Caenorhabditis elegans: one gene and its partner. The protein of the gene in region 1 interacts with the protein of each later gene in a pairwise test. Each region holds a gene or a part of one and is shown on either strand. Other genes may lie near its edges.

Region 1 (5,931 bases):
TCGCGGCAAATTTATACCTTTAGCAAACATCGAATGGAAATACCTACGCTAGTTTTTCCAAAGCTAATTCTGAAATTTCCGTTTTCAAAAACCTAACTAGATGAAGCTCGAGAACCGTTTAGAAGTAAGAATCGATACCAAACAAATTAGATCGTAATGCGGGTGATGAAGAGAATTATTTACTTTGCCGACTTTCGGTTTATTATAAGAACACTTCTCTTTACAGGCTGACACAAAATAACAGATTTGGGGACATAAAAACATGCAGGAAACGGGGATCTAGAATTCTGTGCTATATAAATAAGTACAAAAGATTCAGGAACACAAAGCAATGAAATTTAGATCTGAGCATCAATCAACTGAGCACCAAGGCCAGCATCGTCGAGAGCAGAATCGCAACGATCGATCTTGGAGAGTCCAGCTTCCTCAGAGATGATCTTGGTGCAGGATTTCGAGTCCGGAGAAGCAGTTTCGGAAGAGGTCCCGAGAGATTCAGTAGTAGCAGAAGAGTCGGCAGCATCACCTGCTCCCTTCTGGTCCTTCTGTTTGCGGTTTTTATTCTTACGCTGCTTTCTTTGCTTCTTTTTCTCCATTGCTACTGCCGGAGCCTCGACAAGCTTTTCAGTTTCCTTTGAATCAAAATCCTCTCCAACAACGATTTTCGGTTTACGATTCTTACGGAAGCGAGAGAGAAGCTGATGGCGATATCTAAAGTAACTAGTTTTCCAACTTTACTTGTCAATCAATAACTCACTTCGATCCAGAAACATTCACCCCGGCTGGTCCGGTGACATTTGCAGCCTCAGGTCCATTCTTACCATCGACCAGATCGAAGAGCACTTCCTCCTCATCGGCAAGTGTCCGAAGGTAAAATTTCTCAGTGTCCGATTTGGAAATAGCTGTTTGGTGAACGAAGACATCCTTCTCTCCATCACTACGGGAAATGAACCCATAGCGACGAAGTACAGAGTACCACTTCACCTTTCCTTGAAGTCCAGCGGTAAGAACAATCTTCGCCTTCTGCTCCTCCTCCCAAATGCGTATGCGCTCGGCAGCTGGCAGACGCTAAAAATCATAAAATTGTAAATGTTGTACATTAGCACGTCATGCATCATAAAGAAAACGAACTACTTCAAAACAGTCAATGGTAGTTCCCAAAGAAGTGAGTTTTAAAAAAACTTACATGCTTGCTTGTATCATCCTTGCTTGGCGATCTTTTCTTGCCGATGGAGAGATCGTCGAGTTTCTTTTCGATGACTTGCTCATCTACTTCGACAGCAGTATTCGCAGTGTCCGACATTTTCGCCGTAGTTGCTCTTAGCACTTGAGGTACTGAAAAACAAGACTACATTGAGTGACTGAAGCTTCAAGGGTCGACGGCGTGCAGAAGAAAAGAAAAAAGTCGAAAAATGACAGATTAAGTGATAAACGCTCGCGGGCCTGTGGTCCCGTACGACCGTAACCAGCGTACCTGCACATCAAACATTTGGCGGCGCTTCAAGGTTTTAAACGCATTTCTTACATTTTTTTGTTAACAAATTTGTTTTCTTATTCAATGTTACACACATTTTCATTATTTTTTGTTGGTATTTGCAGAGCGAACGCATATAAAAACTACAAAATATATGAAAGAAACTGAACTTGATCGTCTTTTCTCTTGGCTTGCTAGGAAACATTACCCATTCAAGAGAGAATGGCTAAGAATATGCGTCCAGTATATCGAAGGATCACTCGGACAAAGAATTAAAACTGTTGATGTGAAGCAGATTGGTGAACTTGTCATACAACAGTTTTTGAATTCAAAAATATCCGAAGCTTTGGATCCCACCATGAAAATCCCAACGAGCGCAGTAAAAGTTGTCATTGTTAAAAGAATGATTTTCCAGGTTATTAGTTTGAAGATCTGCCGAAAATCAACAGGAATATTTTTAGGTTATTTCCTCCACGAATATATCAACATCCTTGTACGAGCAATTGTCAGAATGTACTCGACACAACGAAGATTTGGCTTGGTTTCATGGCGGATCCAAAGCTGATCACGAAGAAGAAAATCGCGACAAAGAAAAAGATGTGGCCTCTGATCGCATGAATCATACGCAGACGAAAAATGCAATTAAGAAACGAGGAATGCTGAAAATTGAGCTCACCGATGGTGTGAATACTTTGAAAGCAATCGAGTTAGACGAAGTATTTGATGAAAAAATTATGCTACCCGGTGCAAAGATTATTCTCACAGGAAAAGTTAAATGTCGTCGTGGAAATCTTCTACTGGATAAATCTAATTGTGCTTTTCTGGGCGGCCGAGTGGAATCACTAAGTTTTGATAAAGTGGCACAATTATCAAATGCATTGAAGGTTGACTTAGACGCGGAGAAGAAACGAAGAAAGTAAGTTATCACTTAGATACATTAGAAATCAGACATCATCTTAGCTTGATTTAATTCTTCTAGTAAATTCAATTTTCAGAGCATCTCTGGAAAACGCTGCTGCTTCTGTATCACGAAATAACAAGAAACAAATAGACAAGAAAAATCTTTCCCTTAATCAATCATCGCTTTCTCCATTTTTAGTCAAAACAAGTCGAATAACGGGAGAGGTCACTGTAAGTATTTAATCTAGTTCCACTACACTTCTTTCAATGGCTTAAAAACAGTTCTGAAAATTACAGGTTCCGGTGAAACAGTCTTTGGTGCCTACTGCGTCACGTATTCTACCATCTTCCGTAGCAGTTATTCCCAGCATTCAAATAGAGAAACCAACAGATCCTATTGAAAATTGGGATTTTTCAATCGAAGAAGTTCCGCAAGAACCAACTCCAGAACCACCAAGTCATCATGTACGGGGCCTTGTTGAACATTATCCATTGCGTTCAAAACCACAAGATCCGCTCCCACCACCTCCAACGAAGCGTTTATCTTCATTAATAATTGATAAAAATTCGATTTCAAAAGTGTCCCAAAACATTTCAAATCAGGTCGAGAAAGGTCTACTGCAAAACAAGACGATCGAAGATTGGACTTTCAATTCGACAAATTCCTTTGACAAATCTAAAAAAGTTATGTCTATTGATAACTCTAAAGATCAAAAAATGAAAATCAAGGAACTTCCTGGACAACTAATACGACCGACTCCAATCGAAAAACCTATAATCGGTGATCCTAGAATGAACAGTGAGAAACGTAAGTTAAAACAGAATAAAATATAAAAACCTTTCAGCTATAATATGATCCTCTTAACAACAACTATACCACAAAAGTTTCAGTAAAAGTTTTCCAGGCAAAGATGTTTCCGTATGGGTTTGGGAAGATCGGAAAGGATCAGAAGAGGAAGACATTGCGGCGAAAAGGATCAAAAAGATAGATTCAGTTATGGAGATTCCATTATGTTTTGTGAAGGAAACAACTCGCCAAGCGAATCGAAGTAATGAAGAGAGTCGTCATAAATTAAATACATTTGCGCAAACAATTCATGGTCCTCGTAGCAAGATTGACGATTTTCGAGTCAAATCGAACAATGTTCCCGTTTTCAAACAAATTACAGATCACTTTATAACTGTGAAAAGTAATCCTAATTCATTCACATCTTCTACGCGTCATACACCACCTCAAATGCCGAAAGTAGTCGATTTTGGGAATTTTGAAGATTATGATGAAGATTATGAAGATGAAGTTCTGCCAACATCTTCGTTCCGAGATCAATTAAAACAAAGAAAAAGTCTAGATAATCATGGAGAAGATGTAGTCTTAGAAGAAGAAATGGATCATGTAGATCACGATGAATCTATAAGTGAGTTGTTTTTTAATTTATCGGAAAATTTAACTGATAATCTCGTGATATTCAAAAAAATATTTATATTCAGTTGAATGTACAATGGATCATGAGGGACGTTTGGAATGCGAACGATGGGGATTGCGTGGAAGGGAATCGAATATTATTGAGGATGATAAACGGAATGTTTACAATGGATATAATATGAATAATAATATAGAACGTGACAATAAATACGGTAAGCTATAACTGTCTTAATCAATCATCTGACATTTTGGAAAAATTTCAGATTCTTCAATGAATGGAATGCCCCAGCCAAATCTCCAGCATCCTCTGTCAATTCTTCCTCCTCCACCAGTCATTCCTCCTTCACAGAATTGGAATTATACAGGATACTACCAAGCTCCGCCACTTAGGAATGTAATAAAAAGCGAGACGGTGGATTCTGTTGTACCGGAGGACCAGAAAATGGTTGGAGCTCAGGGAAAGAAGAGACCAAATGTAAGACAAGAAAATGATAATATGAAAAACAAACAATCGGCGAATGTTCAAGTTTATAGGACACCTTTTGCTGAAAGGGTTTGTTTTTTTTTTCAGAAAAATCAAAATTATTTTCAAAAAAAGAGGTTTATTCTAGTTGAACAGTGGCGATTCATCTTCAAAATTGTCGCCCCAATTATTCCAACGAATGGCTGATCTGCAAATCGTACCATTCGGCGATGCACTATTTAATCGAAAATTCTGGATGATGTCAAAAATTGTAGTCATTATGGTAATAGCTGATATTCTGTACGAAGTAACAAAAATTCTAACATTTTCTCACATTTCAGCCAAGTATCTGCAGTCAAATACACGAGTTACAATCTGATGGCATCGATTGGCTACTACAGGTATATTGTCCAAATAATTCATTTCTAAATACTTTATTTTCCAGATACGAGTAACAGATACATCAGTAAAAAATGTTATCTGCCGCGTTTCCACGAGCCTTCTAAATCGAATTTTTGGATTTGATGTTCAACAGTGCAAGGTTACAAAATTAATGTGCTATTCGTAAACCTTTTTTTTTCAGAATTTATTCAACAAAAATCAAGTCGAGGAGCTACGTGCGAAGAAATGCGAAGCCGAACGTAAACTTCTTGGATTCAAACGTCTTGATCTTCTTTTATGGGTTGAGGTTTCACCAGAGCGTAACCAAATTCCGCTCATTCTTGACGTGAAAACGATTTCTGATGCTCTCAATATTTTGTAATTATTTCTATTGCTTGCTACCTGAATTCACGTGTACCACAATATAGTCATGTATTATTTAATTGTTCTTGTTTTTTTGTTGTTTCCAAATACAATACAACTGTTTTAAGCTTTTTCTTTCGTTAAAATTTCTTTAAAACAGAAATGTAACAAAAAACATAAATTTAAACAAACTGTATGGAAAACTGTACAGTTTTCGATACAACGAGAGTTTGAAACTACAGTACTCTTTAAAGGGTCATGCCATTTTCGAATTCATCAAAAGTTCGTCGGGTCGAGACATACATACTACAGTAAGAAATGTAATATTCTCATAAAGCTCAAAACAATGTATTTATAACCCAATCAACAGCATTTAGACCGGACTATATTTTTCCTATCGGGATCTCCCTTTGTTTTGAAACAGACGATTAAAACTCAAAAAACGCAAAGTAAAATTGAAATTCGTTCATTTTGTTAATGATCGAAATATTTAGGTTACATCAGTATAAAAGGTTTGCATAAGGCAATAAAAATAACGTTATTTTACATGAAATGTTAGAATAGAATTATATGTCTAGTTCATAGACATCTGGGACACGTCACCCAAGAGAGTCCGTTGCTGCACGGCCGATCCGATGTTAGTACTGCGCATCTTTGAGGCGAATTCGATGCTTCTCTTGGACTCTGTCGCTTGCTCGTTGCATGGATTGAGATTGACCACAACCATAGTCTTCGAGTTGCCACGTCCCAAGCAGTCCATCAGCACTTGTGTCAGTTTGCTGTCGCGATATGAAACATGTCCCTTCTGGGATCTTTGCTGGCTGATGCACATCTGAAGGATAGACAACGACTGGTTGATATTAGTCATCTCCTTGAACTGGTCGCCACTGACACCAGACTCCTTGGCACGTTCGGATCCTGCGAGATCCA
Region 2 (4,950 bases), on another chromosome or scaffold:
TTTAAAAAATATTTTTTCTGAAATCATTATTATTTTCAGATTATTCACATGATTTTCCATACTTTGTTATTAGACTCGAAACTGTCTGAAAACAACGAATTTCATAGTGAAACTTTTTGAAAACTTCTCAAAAAAAAAGTTATGACGGTTCAAAAAATGACCCTAAATTAGTTAAAATTTGAAATTTGACCGTCTTGGAAACTAACTTTTTTGAAAAATCACCGTCTAATTTTGGCTATACAAGTTAATTATCTTGCGTTTTCAACTCGATTTAGGTACATTTAAATGGTTATCAATTCGCAAAATTTTTAGTAGAAGTTTTGGTAAATTTCGAAAATTTCCAAGTCAAAGAATCAAGTGAATAGCCAAATTTTGTGGTAATTTGCCACATTTTTTGGAATATCGCCAGTTTTTTTTTGTTGAAAAATTGCCACAAAAATTGAAAATATGCCAATTTTTTGATAAAATGCCCAATTTTTCAGTCAATGTTTTTTTTTTGAAAAATTGGCAAAAACAATTGAAAATATACCAATTTTTAGAAAATTGCATAACTTTTCAGTCAATGTTTTTTTTTTGCTCAATTGCCAATTTTTTTGAAAAACTTTCAAGTATTTGGTAAATTGCCAAATTTAAAGTTAAATTTCCAAAATGTTTCCCAAAATTAGACGGTGATTTCAAAAAAGTTAGTTTCCAGCCGCTCAAATTTCAAATTTCAACTAAGTCATTTTTGAGCCGCCATAACTTTTTTTTTTGAGAATTTTCCAAGAAGTTTCATTCTGAAATTCGGTGTTTTCAGGCAATTTCGACTAAACCAATGAAGAAAAATATTGGAAAAAACATGGTGCAATCGACCTACTTGAGCCGACATGCAAAAGTAATCACATTCTATTTTTTTTTTTCGAATTGTTCACATTTTTCCCTGAAAACCCCCACCCCTCTCGTACATGTAATATCATTTCACCGTAATCACCTCATACAAATGTCATTTTTTAATGATAATTCTCTGCTTTTTTTACCGCAATTGTGAATAAATTTCAATTTTTATGAAAAATAATTTTTATATGTTTTGCAAGTTTTTGTTTCAGGTCTTTACACCAGATTTATTTGATTTTTTAAAAAGATTTTTGGAAAAAAATTTTTTTTTTGAAATTTTTTAGGAGAAAAAATTGTGATTTTTTTCGAATCAAATTTTGAAGAAATTATTATACAATCATTAGAAATTTTAAAAAAAAATAATTTTTTTATTGGAATTTTTTTTTGAATTTTTTTCGAAATGTTTTTTTTTTTAATATTTTTTGTTGTTCAAAAGTTAATTTTTTTCCTAAAATTTAAACCACTTCCAAACCTAAAAATAACCATATTAACAAATCCAACAAAATTAAAAATATTTTAAATTTTCTCAAAAAATTTTGAAATTTTTTTGATTATTTTTCAAAAAAAAATTTTTTTAAATTTTTTTGGAAGAGCATTTTTACAAATAGGGGAAATACACAAAATATCATTTGCAAATGAGCACAAAACGTTTTAAAAAATTAATTAATACTTTCAGAAAAAAAAAAGTTTTTTTCTGAAAGTGTTTTGTAATGTCGAAATACTTAATAAAACATTTTTGGAAAAAATCTCAAATTTTCAATAAAAAATTTTTTTTTTGAAATGTTGAAAAAAAAAAATTTTTTTAACTTTTTGTGAACGCTCTCAACGCTCTCTCTCATTTTTTAAAACTGAAAAAAAAACATAATTTTAAGCTCAAATTCCCAATGAAAAGAGCCTTATTTGTGGCCGAGAAGAATGACGTGGCAAAGGGAGTCGCTGCGATTTTATCAAATGGAACAGCGAATCGACGAGAGGGGCGGAGCAAGTTTAACAAGATTTACACGTTGAATACCGAGCTTTTTGGACAGGTACCAGCAGTCATTTGGCTCTGAAATACCCAAAATAGTCTAAAATCCGCAAAAAATCACTATTTAATCAATTTTCGGTAAATAAGAACTGCGACCAATCAGCGATTTGCTCCGCCCACTTTTCAACCAATCAGGTGAAGTGGGCGGGGTTAGGAGGTGTTTGAAATACCCAAAATAATAGTCTTAATTCACCAAACGCCGCCCACTCCATCTGGTTGGTTGGAAAGTGGGCGGAGCGAATCGCGCTGATTGGTCGCAGGTTCAAAAAGTTGGATTTTTAAATTTTTCGCTATTTTTTTTCGGTTTTTTTGTGATTTATACGGAATTCGAGACTAGTTTGAGTATTTCTAAGCAAAAAATCACTATTTTTATCAATTTTCGGAAAATAAAAACCGCGACCAATCAGCGATTCGCTCCGCCCACTTTTCAACCAATCAGGGGTAGTGGGCGGGGTTAGGAGGTGTTTGAAATATCCAAAAATAGTCTTATATAAAGAAAAATCCACCAAACCCCGCCCACTCCATCTGATTGGTTGGAAAGTGGGCGGAGCGAATCGCGCTGATTGGTCGCAGGTTCAAAAAGTTGGATTTTTAAATTTTTCGCTATTTTTTTTCGGTTTTTTTGTGATTTATACGGAATTCGAGACTAGTTTGAGTATTTCTAAGCAAAAAATCACTATTTTTATCAATTTTCGGAAAATAAAAACCGCGACCAATCAGCGATTCGCTCCGCCCACTTTTCAACCAATCAGGGGTAGTGGGCGGGGTTAGGAGGTGTTTGAAATATCCAAAAATAGTCTTATATAAAGAAAAATCCACCAAACCCCGCCCACTCCATCTGATTGGTTGGAAAGTGGGCGGAGCGAATCGCGCTGATTGGTCGCAGGTTCAAAAAGTTGGATTTTTCAATTTTTCGCTATTTTTTTCGGTTTTTTTGTGATTTATACGGAATTTAAGACTATTTTGAGTATTTCTAAGCAAAAAAATCACTATTTTTATCAATTTTCGGAAAATAAAAACCGCGACCAATCAGCGATTCGCTCCGCCCACTTTTCAACCAATCAGGGGTAGTGGGCGGGGTTAGGAGGTGTTTGAAATATCCAAAAATAGTCTTATATAAAGAAAAATCCACCAAACCCCGCCCACTCCATCTGATTGGTTGGAAAGTGGGCGGAGCGAATCGCGCTGATTGGTCGCAGGTTCAAAAAGTTGGATTTTTCAATTTTTCGCTATTTTTTTTCGGTTTTTTTGTGATTTATACGGAATTCGAGACTAGTTTGAGTATTTCTAAGCAAGAAAAATCCTATTTTTGCAGCAAACCGCAATTTCGGTGACAAGTGTTTCGGGACATATGATGAATTTCCAATTTCACGAGAATATGTCGAATTGGCAAACGGCGTCGATGGTCGAGTTGTTTCGAGCTCCGGTTCGGCATGTTGTCACACCAGAGATGAAGCTCATCGAGCAGACATTAAGGTTAAATTTTACGGGGGGGGGGGGGAAGGCAGGCATAAAGTAGGCAGTCTTTTGTTGGCGCGTAGGCGCGTAGGTAGCCATAAGGTGAGCTTGTAGGCAGGTAGGTAGGCATGAGAAATGTATCTATTACTTGTAGGTTGGCGAAAAGGCGCGTAGGTAGGCAGGAGGTAGGCGTGTAGGCAGGTAAGCGTGGAGTAGGCGAGTAGGCGCGTAGGTAGGCAAGCATACGGTGGGCGTATAGGCGAACGTATACTAAGATTAAGGTATTGATGTAGGTGGGCATGATGTAGGCGTCTAGGCAGGCAAGCGTGGAGTAGGCGTGTAGGCGCGTAGGTAGGCATGAAGTAGGCGTGTAGGCAAGCGTGGAGTAGGCGCGTAGGCAGTCATAGATTAGGCGTGTAGGTGCGTAGGTAGGCATGAAGTAGGCGTGTAGGCGAAAATTTATACATGTAGATAGGCGTCTAGGCAGGCAGGCATAGAGTAGGCGTGTAGGTGCGTAGGTAGGCATGGTGTAGGCGCGTAGGTAGGCATGATGTAGGCGTCTAGGCAGGCAAGCATATAGTAGGCGTGCAGGCAAACTTATAGGAAGCTTAAGGTATACCTGAAGGTATACATGTAGGTAGGCATCTAGGCAGGCAAACATTGAGTAGGCGCGCAGGCGCGTAGGTAGGCATGAGGAAGGCGCGTAGGCAGGCAAGCATACGGTGGGCTTAAAGGCGAACGTATAGGAAGCTTAAGGTATTTTTGTAGGTAGACATGAAGTAGGTGGCTAGGTAGGCAAGCATTGAGTAGGCGCGTAGGTAGGTATGAGATAAGTGCGTAGGCAGGCAAGCATAGAGTAGGCGTGTAGACGCGGAGGTAGGCAAGCATACCGTGGGCGTTCTGGCAAACGAATAGTAAGCTTAAGGTATCGATGTAGATGGGCATGATGTAGGCGTGTAGGCAGGCAAGCATATAGGTTCTTTATAGAAATTTTTGGAACTTTTCAGAGAACAAGCCCAACGACACGATATCCTGGTAGTCTGGACAGATTGCGATCGAGAAGGTGAAGCAATTGGCGCTGAAATTGTTAAAGTTTGCAGAGATAGCAACCGGCGGCTGGATATTTTCAGAGCGAGGTAACACAAAACTCTGAGAATGCGTACTACACAACATATTTGACGCGCAAAATATAAAATTCCCAAATTTTATTATAGATTCTCCGAAATCACAAAAGCAGCCATCACACGAGCAGCTCGGAATCTCATCCGACTCGACGAGAAGACCGTTGCCGCAGTTGATTGTCGAAGTGAATTGGATCTTCGAATTGGATCCGCTTTTACAAGACTACAGACGTTGCATTTAAGGAATCGATTCAGAGATTTACTGGGGCAAAATGGTAGAGAAATTGGGAAATTTGCAAAAAAAAATAATTTTTGAAAAAAAAGTTTGGAAAAATACCAAAATTTGGGCAATTTACTGAAAGTTTGGAGGTTTTCCAAAAAAAAAAAATATTGCAGAAAAAATTGAAAATATACATTAAAATTTGACAGTTTCCAAAATTTTGGCGATTCCAAAAACTTGCCCAATTTACC

The links.
Region 2: the proteins of rmh-1 (region 1) and top-3A interact in a two-hybrid assay, tested with the Caenorhabditis elegans proteins (one study listed by BioGRID).

What each region holds. Positions count from the first base shown.
Region 1 is NC_003279.8:5,571,618-5,577,548, forward strand, and holds rmh-1 (RecQ-mediated genome instability protein 1 homolog), read left to right. Parts: upstream 1-1,596; 5' UTR 1,597-1,625; coding exon 1,626-1,886; intron 1,887-1,932; coding exon 1,933-2,387; intron 2,388-2,466; coding exon 2,467-2,602; intron 2,603-2,668; coding exon 2,669-3,179; intron 3,180-3,276; coding exon 3,277-3,786; intron 3,787-3,859; coding exon 3,860-4,006; intron 4,007-4,057; coding exon 4,058-4,347; intron 4,348-4,405; coding exon 4,406-4,540; intron 4,541-4,598; coding exon 4,599-4,658; intron 4,659-4,702; coding exon 4,703-4,798; intron 4,799-4,840; coding exon 4,841-5,020; 3' UTR 5,021-5,132; downstream 5,133-5,931. Other genes in the region: cey-3 (CSD domain-containing protein), read right to left, coding at 339-708, 755-1,065, 1,184-1,300; klp-15 (Kinesin motor domain-containing protein), read right to left, coding at 5,576-5,931.
Region 2 is NC_003281.10:11,956,976-11,961,925, reverse strand, and holds the start of top-3A (DNA topoisomerase 3), read left to right. Parts: upstream 1-1,745; 5' UTR 1,746-1,757; coding exon 1,758-1,901; intron 1,902-3,215; coding exon 3,216-3,376; intron 3,377-4,365; coding exon 4,366-4,494; intron 4,495-4,572; coding exon 4,573-4,754; intron 4,755-4,950. UniProt on the Caenorhabditis elegans protein: Component of the BTR double Holliday Junction dissolution complex, which is involved in homologous recombination during meiotic double strand break in the germline.